3 linked regions of the Saccharomyces cerevisiae S288C genome follow. Changing the gene in region 3 together with the main gene of any one other region gives a genetic interaction. Each region holds a gene or a part of one and is shown on either strand. Other genes may lie near its edges.

Region 1 (3,078 bases), on a different chromosome or scaffold from region 3:
AGCTTCCTCCATATGGCTACATGTATAGTGCTTTCAAGCAAGTAAGAAAAAAGTATCCAGAATTGGCTAACTTTATTTTAGCTGGACAAGGATTTCAGAATGTCCAATCAGGAATCACAACAGACAAGAAAATTGAAACTATGGGCGCAAGATTGAAAATTGACGGAAAATAATATAAATACATATAAAAGACCTGATACTTATTGACACAAATTTTCTGGATGACCTTTTTCTATATGATATATATACGTCGCTATTGGATCGTAGGTTACTTGGCCATTATTTGAGCGTAACCGTTCACAGGATGTGGGCTTTAAGGAATACAAAATCCAAATATGGAAAAAATTTGATATCAATTTAGGGCTTTAATATCTAAAGGTATTTATTTTTTTCACAGTTTTTTTTCTGTTAAGCTGTCTGCAATAAGGAATGCTCCTGACATGAAATTCGAAAAGGACCGGAAATAGTTGGAGCACAAGACTGCAAACTAAAAAACAAATTTCTTTGGAATTTCCTTACGCTTATAGTATATATCTTATAAATATTAAAATTAAGAGAATTCAATTATTTTACATCATTTATACAACTGTACAGGGCCGCACATGATCACTATAACAATAGAGCGGCGGCACCAGCAATAGCAGCGGCACCGAAAACACCGTTATTGAACTTGTTAGCACCGTTAGTGGTAACGTCAATAACACGAGATGCTGACGATGTGACAGAAGTAGCTGTAGATTGAGCTTTGGAGGAGACTGGCTTAGTCACAGTTGAACAGACGTTATTTGAACAACTAGTTATGGTAGTTTCAACAGTGGAAGCTTGAGTCTTTGTGACGGTGCTGTCAGTACCATTTTGGACCACTGGAGTGACTGAGATAGAAGATGTAGAAGAAACTGGAGCTGTGGTATTGGCAAAACTAGCAGAGCTTGCAACAGAGCTTGCAACAGAGCTTGCAACAGAACTTTCAGCAGAACTTGCAATGGTGCTTGCAGCAGAGCTAGATTCAGATGAAACAGTAGCTTGGGTGGAAGCAGCGTTTGAGCTGGTCTCTGCTGAACTTTCAGAGGAGCTAGAAGACTCAGTGGCGGCACTAGAAGCTTCTGAAGTGGAGGTGGAAGAAGCCTCTGTGGTAGAAGCTGGTACTGCAGTAGCAATACCTTCATTCGCAAGTGCTTCGGAAATAGCACCCATCAATCTAGTAGAGTACCATGGCACACCGGTGATCATTCTGGTCACTTCATCACCTGAAATACCAGTCAACATGGTGGTGAAATCGCCACCGGCAAAAACAGCCTTGGCAATTTCAGGTGGGTATGTTTCAGTCTTATGCAAAGCCTGGAAAGCGTAATATTCAGATAAATGGGCGCCAATATCAGAAACGTAAACAGCCAATTCAATCAAATTGACCCTTTCATCATAAGGGGATAGAGTGGTGGTCACGGATGCGGCGGTTGCACTTGCCACTAATGCTGCGGCGACAGCTAATATACTAATTCTAGACATTACTTGGGGTATATATTTAGTATGCTACACTTTTATCTGAAAAAGAAGAAATAGTACCGTGTCGACATAAAAATAGTATCATTTAGTCGTGCTATTTTATACGCAGTATTTTCAATCATTTCTATTCAATGAGTACCCAGGGACCCTTTTGCATTTCTAGCATTCTCTGTTCCTGAACGATGTTTTGTTAGAGGCCTCGTATAGATCTTGGCATTTTCAAAGGCACGCGTTGTATTGTTTTATTGCCTATCAAAGGAACGCGCAGGAAACATGAAACTTTTCAGAGGAGCGTCTACGGAGGATACATTCATCAATTTTTCCTCATAAATTAAACGATGTGTACAAAAAGGACGAATTGACCCCGTCGTTCGGCGAAACCTTATGTATTTTCCTGGCCATATGTGCTAAACGACAGATAAAATAGGAAATTCTCCCCATTTTCGACTAATAAGATAAGCGGGAGATAGCATCATATGAACTTTTGCACTCAAACGAAGAAAGCACGTGAGGATTGAAGAAAACGGATCGCCGAATCCAGCGTGAATTGAGCTCAACAATTTTTAACTATATCAATCTCTTTCACTTTAAACACTACCACTTAAATCTTTTTAAAACGCTTTGCCCAATGACCCTTTTTTTATTAAGGTTGCTGAGCTATTTTTTCTATACTATTGTCAAACTCCAAAGATATTTTGAGCTTTATTTTCTTGCAAACAAAATACCCTACTGCTTAATAAATGCAATGTATACATAGTTTTCAAGGTACATTATATTTTAAAGTTACCTCAGGCCTGTTTGCCCTTGCATTCTACAGTCCCTTTGTAAGGGTGTGAGACAAAAGGCCTCGTTAGCTACGACTGTTGAAATCGTTTGAATTCGGCTTACAATCTAACTTTGACTGCGCAATTGTTCATGAATTTATAGTGTGCTTGCGAGGGGCAACTTCATACGAAGGCTTGTAGGACCCCTAAGTGCATCCATAAACATGCTCAAAGATTGTCTTAGAAACCACAAGGAGAACGCACAGTATGAATTAAATAAGTTGCGCTCTGCTAGAATATTTTGACGATTACAAAGTCAGAGATCGAAACATTTCCGCTGTGCAACTAAGTAATTTTCCCAATCTTTGGAGAAAATCAATAATCACAAGATTAGTACTTATCCTCTTGTAGGCTTCTCTCTTTCGCTATAAATAGAGCAGAAAAATATGATACAGAAGGTCGAAAGTTTGCTTCGCTGACTGAAGCTTTCTGTCAAGAGTTGACAAAAACATACAAGATTCAGTATTGATAATAAATGGCCTGCACTTAAGACTCAACCATCCCAATAAGTTACCTAGTTGTGTTACCTAAGCTAGGAAAATACACATTGAAAGATGTTTTACAAAGTATTGTAAAGGTACAATGCATTCTAGGCCGAATGTTCATTTCGGATTGTAATATGTAGTCAACGATAACGAACCTCATGGTTATGGTTATTTCTGTTCCAAATTTGCAAAATAGATCTTCATTGTCGTTGTCGGAACGGGTGGTTTATAATTTTAGTAACCATAGTAACTGAATAAAGTGACCA
Region 2 (3,256 bases), on a different chromosome or scaffold from region 3:
CAAAAAAAGGAAAGTATCTCGTCTCTGTTGAGTAATTCTTATATCTTGCAAGATTTAATTCTCACTACTAATACGGAACTCAATCAAAGTGGCTTAATCCCAAGACATGCATTGAATACGGTATCATTGGCTGTTGACAGTTTAAGAAAAGTAGTTGTCACGTTCCTGAGGTTACTGGGGACAAGGGAAAGTAGATACTCGTCTTACGAAATTGGATATAGTTACTCTCTAATGCTCAATCCATGTAAAGCATGAATCATCTCAACAGAAAAATCTGGGAGAGCATATTTGCAACAAAAGAATCCAAATATCAGTATATAATTATATAAGTGAGCTAAGAAGTGAACAAAAGAAAAGGAAGAGGGGAAAAATTTTGGCTGGACTTGTAGAACGATAGAACGAAAGAGTCCAAGGGGGAAGTAATAAAGTTATTGAACGAAACAACAAAAATTCGATGGAGATATTAACAAATGCATAGCAGCGCAGCTAACCGACCCGAAGCTAGTACCAACGAATTTTTCAACTATTCTGTGTTGATTGTCTCCTTTGCAACACCGAGCTCTTCAGTATTCTCAGCTGAAAGTTATTATTGAAATCACGTTGGGGACTTTCATGATCTAGTGGTCTTGGTGAGTAGCATTTAATATTTTGACCATTGAAAGGGCATCTCTCAATTGGAGAAAGGCCACTCTTAGGGATAGGCGTTTTAACAATCTGTTTATGGGATGAATGATATATTTTTGAGGATGGATTCACGATACTGATATGTTTCCCGTCCGCATTATTCGGATATGTAGTGCCTTCTTTCGATAAAATAGATGCCAATCCTGGCGTATGCTTTGTTTCGATGACGGAGCTTACCAATTTTTCACTTCGTATTTTCGATGAGTTCTTATTTTTACATTTGACGTTCAATATTCCGACATACGTCTCTCTTTCTGAAATGTTGGAACTCTGTGGCCTTGGATTTGGTGTTTTTTCACCCGAAAAATTGTTGATAACTGCACTTTTCTTTGAGGTACTACTATTTATATCTTCCTGCTCTTTTGTTCCCCGCTTAAGATGTTTTGGATGGCAAGTTTCAATAAACTGCGGTTTTATTCCTGCTTCTGAAGAGGTGCCCGAGATGTGAACCTCATTTCCACCACTACCAGTATAAGTAAAGTAGTCCGTACCTTCTTTTCCAAAGTCATTTGAGGAATATACCAAAAAAACACCTTCCTTTACTTGAAAGCGATCCACGAATGGGAAAGTATCCCCTTCCGAAGTCACATCTGAGGGAACAAATTTTAAAACATATGAGATGTTGTTTTCATCCACGGCATCATAAAATTTACAGCAATTATTCTCATACATCAAGTTTTTGAGAGTGTAGTCATGCAATCCTAAATCTTTGAAATGCATCTGATCTATTTGTTTCTGTATTTCTCTTTTCTTGAGTTATATAAACGGAATGATTAGTAGTTTGGCAGAATTTATAGCAAGTATTAAATAGTTGAATACCTCAATATTCTCCATAATAAACGCCATATCGTACATAAAGGCTAAAACAAGAATGCCTGATACCGTTCTGCTTTTTGTTTTATCTTTCCCTATATTTTCTTTCCCTTTTGATGCTTTACGTAATTTTTCCCGGCATATGTGAGCTTCCTAATAGACTCTATTTTTATTTTTCCCTTTCAAAGTGCGAGAGAAATACACACAACCAGCCTACGCTTATTTTCACCCATACCGTCATACGCCATATGATATATAATGTGAAACAAACGCGGGGAAGAGCGCGACACGACAGCTTAGCAGGGGCATTCCACGCAACACCTGAAACTTTAAGTAAAACTGTTTCTGCGAGGATATCTTGGCAAAACAAACACTAACTTTCGAACTAAATATAGTGATCGTGGTCATAAATTAATAAAAAGAGGATAAATAGAGATAAAAGAGATATGTGACTAAGTTGCTGGCAATATGTATTATTTATACTTTTATCTTCTTGAAGCGTATTCAAAATTGCGTTTCGGTAAAGCTCTCACCAGATGTACTTAAAGTTTGGGATGAAGCACCGTTTTGGACAACTTTCATTAAGGAATCAACATATTCTGCACCAGACCATAGCTGGTGTGTCATGATATCACAATTAGTCTCCTTTTCCCGTTTTTGCACTTTTTCGACGTATGCTTTCATTCCGTCACTTTGGAAGCTATTGGCTAATTCCCAGAATGATACTCCATCTGAATGCAGACCGGCAAGGGAAACCAGTTGCAACGTGAAGCCTTCTTTTGCCAAGTCCCATACGAAGGATTTTAATGCCTTATCATCAAAGCCGTGAGCGCTCCAATTGAAACTAGGAGATAAGTTATATACTAGCTTGGTAGCTGGAAGTTGTTTATGAATTTTTCTTGAAAATGAGCGTGCCTGCTCCAGGTCAGGAGTTTTCGTTTCCAGCCAAATCATATCAGAATATGGGGCAAACACCAAAGATCTTCTAATAGCTGCTTCAATACAACCGTTAAACATGTAATATCCCTCTTTGGTCCTCGGAGCATCCCAGTCAAATATAATTTTCTTTAGTGGTGTCACTTCTTGAGCTAAAAGTTTCATTTCTCTTAAGCTTAGGTATGCTCTACCCAGCTTGTTTACCATAAGGTCTTCCTTCTTTTCTTTATAGCTTTCAAACTCGCTTGCCGTAAACTGCTTTTCTAAGGCCTCTTCAAATGTAAACAGCTCATTTTCATGGTACCATTCTTTTTCCATGTCAGCAATGGCGGAGTTGGGAATTTTTTTGTCCTCCATCTCAATCAATTTTTCGCTCCAAGGCACCACGTTATCTCTTATTATACCCCTAATGAATTCGTGGTCTCTCGGATCACTGCTTGAACTCAACAGCTTACCATTACAGGAATCTGTTCTTGCAATAACCAAATTTTCTGTCCCCATGATATCCCATTGAAACCTGGTGGAAATCAATCTCATAAGATGTGTTGCTGTGGGCACCAAAACAGCCCCACTTAGATGGCCACACCTTTTGCCTCCCACCATCTGATCTTCAAGATGAATACCAGCAGCCCCTTTCTCCGCAAACAACTTAGCAACTTTCATTACAGTCGTTGGGCCACCGTGACCCATGTCTGCGTCCGCGATAATTGGTTTTAAATAATCAACAGGAGTAGAACCTTTGATGGAGGCCTCCAAGAAAGCCTTTCGATCGTGCAATTGCTGCGCCTTGAATATTCTCTCCACTTGATTCGGCACAGTATCG
Region 3 (4,240 bases):
TGGTAGTTTCTCCATCGTCAGTAACAAAATTACCTGATTTGTTAAAATCCACGGGCAAACCGCTAACTAAGGTGGATGGTAGCTTTAAAGTCAACCTAGAGAAGTCAAACTTATTCGAGGAATCCCAAAACCCGTAGTTTAACAAACATTTTTCATTAGAAATATTACCATAATTATTAAACAATTCATCCTGTGCACTAAATGTGGTAGTCTGCGACATGAAACAAAGTTCATTTTGTTCATTCATCTCCCATCTTACTGGTACATCGTTTTTATGGTTTAATAAATCTACTATTGGATACAAAAATCCTTCGTTCAGATTGGTGCGGTCTGTACCGGCCCTGCCTAAAATGACACGAGGAAATGCCCTAGAATTAAAGATGCAGTACGACCAAAGATACGCCACGAACGAGTTCCATTCCGAATCTTCTAGTTTACATCCATTGATGTGTGCGCAGAACTGTTCCAACGGCACTACGGCAGAGTCTTTATTCTCCTGGAATAAAGACAAGAACTGCTTATCTTGAGAAGAGTGTTCAATAGATAAAGCTTGGAACAGCATCCTCCACTCCTTTACTAGTTTGTTCAGCGTATCTCTCATAGTTAAGTACACGTCTGTACCATGCAAATTCATGACTTCATCAGTAGACCAAAAATATGGTTGTGGAAGGTGCAAGGGTAGCACATCTAAATATGGTTTGTAAAAGGATTTCAGGTGAACTGCATCGGTGCCAAATTTCAACTTTGACAAGTACAACTGTGTCACGGAATTCAAAAGACTCCTTTCATTAGCAGCCTGGGAAAATTCTGATAAAGCTTGCTGGGAAGTGATCAGCAGAGTTTCGGGTACCCTAATCAAAGCTTGGTCGGGTTTGGGAGAGAATTTTTCGTTTACAAATGCACTAACACCAGCATCCTCTGTAATCCTAAAAGAGATTTTCGGATCGATGAAGGCTCCATTATTTTGAGCCCATTGTAAGCAGTTATCTAGCTCAGTTTGGGTGATCATGCAGAAGTTCGTTAATTAAATGACGAGGTAGCTTCACCAAGCTTGATTCCTTAGTCTTTTTTACTTCCATCATTTCTTCTTTGTTGGAATGGTCAAGTTCAAGTTGAAAAATTTTCTTTTTCATAGTCAACTCATCGCAGGCACATTCGCCTTGAACGAACAACGAGCAGGACTCCAATAGAATAATAGTAATAGATTACAGGCCTATACAATCAAGACAACTATCAAGGTGGGGAGGGTTTCCACCTGTAACTTCCGCTGACTAATGATACATATTATCTGATCGGAAGCCAATGAAAGATCCCCTAAATATCACGCATGTAAGCGACCGCGATGAAGCGTACTGGCAGCTCTATCACGAAGCGATGGAAAAATACACCTGCGAATGAAAATCCATCAACAGAAATGAGAAGACAATTGTATATTATCATTAACGTTCATCTTTAGGACTTGTTCTCTTACGAAATTTGTGTGCCTGTATTTGTTAGAAAGCCACATATGTCTTGGCCTTTTTCACTTCTTTCCTGTTTGGGATTGCAAATTTATCAAAATGCACCCATAAAAGCAGGTGTGATATAACAAGCACATATCGTTAGGAAAATAGTGTCAAAGAGAAAAAAAGGCCAAGCAAATCGGAGTACAGTTTACATGAAGTAATGCAAGATGCATAGAACTGAAGATTTCAGGAATAATTGTATATAGGGGAGGAAACATTCGATAGCTCTCTTTTTGCTTTCGTTCACTATATCTCTTGTTTTCTTTCTTAAAAATATATGGACAGTAGTTCAAGCCACTGCATAGCAACGTACTAATGGAGTCTGTTCACTCTCGCGATCCTGTTAAGGAGGAAAAGAAACATGTCTTCATGGGAATGGAACACGAGTTGAATCCTGAGACTCATAACGATTCCAACTCCGACTCATATGGTCTCCCTCAGTTATCTGAAAAATACAATGCCTTGAGACAGAACAGGAGCCTAATTATCCAGCAGACTGAAATCATTGGCTCTGCTTACAATAAATGGTACTTACAAGCGATTTTACTTTTGAGTGCTTTCATATGTGGCTACGGTTATGGACTGGACGGTAACATCCGTTATATTTACACTGGTTACGCCACATCATCCTATAGTGAGCATTCTCTGCTGTCTACAATCAACGTCATTAATGCTGTGGTCAGTGCCGCTTCGCAAATCATATACGCTAGGTTGTCTGATGTGTTTGGTAGACTATACCTTTTCATTAGTGCTGTCATCCTATATGTTGTGGGTACAATTATTCAATCACAAGCTTATGATGTTCAAAGATACGCTGCAGGTGCCATTTTCTACAATGCTGGCTATGTGGGTGTAATCCTTATTCTTTTGATTATCCTATCCGATTTTTCATCTTTAAAGTGGAGACTGCTGTATCAATTTGTCCCGACTTGGCCTTTTATCATCAACACATGGATTGCTGGTAATATCACTTCCAGAGCCAATCCTGTTGTCAACTGGTCTTGGGATGTAGGTATGTGGGCTTTCATCTTTCCCCTATCATGTGTTCCAATCGTTTTGTGTATGTTGCACATGCAATGGAGGGCCAGAAAGACTCCTGAATGGCACGCTTTGAAGGGCCAGAAGTCCTATTATCAAGAACATGGTTTTATTAAGATCTTAAAGCAATTATTTTGGATGTTAGATGTCGTTGGTGTCCTTTTGATGGGTTGTTCCCTAGGTTGTATCTTGGTCCCACTGACCTTGGCTGGTGGGGTCAAAACTACCTGGAATGATTCAAGATTGATCGGCCCCTTTGTTCTTGGCTTTGTTTTGATCCCTATCTTATGGATTTGGGAATATCGATTCGCTAGAGATCCAATTCTTCCATATAGGCTGGTCAAAGATAGGGCTGTATGGTCTTCTATGGGTATTTCTTTCCTGATTGATTTTATTTACTATATGGCCGCTGATTATTTGTACACGGTTATGATTGTTGCCGTCAATGAATCCGTTAAATCTGCAACCAGAATTGCCACATTATCTTCATTTGTCTCTACTGTGGCCTCTCCATTTTTCGCTTTACTTGTAACAAGATGTACGAGATTGAAACCATTCATAATGTTTGGATGCGCGCTATGGATGGTGGCTATGGGTTTATTGTACCACTTTAGAGGTGGAAGTCAGTCCCATTCAGGTATTATTGGTGCATTATGTGTCTGGGGTGTGGGCACTACTTTGTTCACTTACCCAGTTACCGTCTCTGTACAATCTGCCGTCTCTCATGAAAACATGGCGACAGTTACAGCTTTAAACTATACCCTCTATAGAATTGGTTCTGCTGTCGGTTCCGCAGTTTCCGGTGCCATTTGGACTCAGACTTTGTACAAACAAATTTTGAAGAGAATGGGTGATGTTGCTCTAGCCACAACTGCCTACGAATCTCCATATACTTTCATTGAAACCTATACTTGGGGTACCCCACAAAGGAATGCCTTAATGAACGCTTACAAATACGTTCAAAGATTGGAAACTATCGTGGCTTTAGTATTTTGTGTTCCATTAATTGCATTCTCCTTATGTCTAAGGGATCCTAAATTGACTGATACTGTTGCTGTGGAATACATCGAGGATGGCGAATATGTCGACACGAAAGACAATGATCCAATTTTGGATTGGTTTGAAAAACTTCCATCAAAATTCACTTTTAAACGGGAATAAGTTGATGTTTACGTTGCATGATTGCTTGATATCACTTTCCATGACTATATTGCCCAAAATATACGGTGTCACCTCCTACTTTTTCCTCTCTACAAGACTCTACCATTCTAATGATCATAACCAAGAAAAGAAAAGATCAGAAATGTCTAGTTCTTTGCATATTCCTTTTACCATAACAGTATATGCATATCTACATGTATAGTGCGGCACTACTTAATATTACGTAACAGAGTAATATCTTTACTTCTTTTGTTCTGCCTGTTTATAACATCGATTGGCCAGTTGTCTCAGCACTTGCTTCATAACAAGTGAAAAATTAGAGGCGTTGAATAATTATGTACCTTGACTTTGAAGTCGGTTATCATAAGTGCTTCGAGAAGAGATATAAAGACAAGATAAAGTGTTATGTCAACTATGGTGAAAAAGGAAGGGAAGACAGGCGGTCGCTGAATCTTAAATCCACTCGCCTTTTTTTCTTTGTTTTTCCTTGGCAAGCCTATCCTTCCAGTCGGCTAAGCCCCATTCCATTCAGCTTG

The links.
Region 1: mutations in ARN1 (region 3) and DAN1 together harm fitness more than expected from each alone (negative genetic interaction), as found in Saccharomyces cerevisiae (one large-scale study listed by BioGRID).
Region 2: mutations in ARN1 (region 3) and HAL1 together harm fitness more than expected from each alone (negative genetic interaction), as found in Saccharomyces cerevisiae (one large-scale study listed by BioGRID).

The regions. Positions count from the first base shown.
Region 1 is NC_001142.9:708,202-711,279, forward strand, and holds DAN1 (Dan1p), read right to left. Parts: upstream 1,507-3,078; coding exon 610-1,506; downstream 1-609. Other genes in the region: YJR149W (putative nitronate monooxygenase), read left to right, coding at 1-173. UniProt on the Saccharomyces cerevisiae protein: Component of the cell wall.
Region 2 is NC_001148.4:565,268-568,523, forward strand, and holds HAL1 (Hal1p), read right to left. Parts: upstream 1,405-3,256; coding exon 520-1,404; downstream 1-519. Other genes in the region: methylisocitrate lyase ICL2, read right to left, coding at 2,002-3,256. UniProt on the Saccharomyces cerevisiae protein: Involved in salt tolerance.
Region 3 is NC_001140.6:18,552-22,791, reverse strand, and holds ARN1 (siderophore transporter), read left to right. Parts: upstream 1-1,820; coding exon 1,821-3,704; downstream 3,705-4,240. Other genes in the region: EFM1 (protein-lysine N-methyltransferase), read right to left, coding at 1-1,009. UniProt on the Saccharomyces cerevisiae protein: Involved in the transport of siderophore ferrichrome and so has a role in iron homeostasis.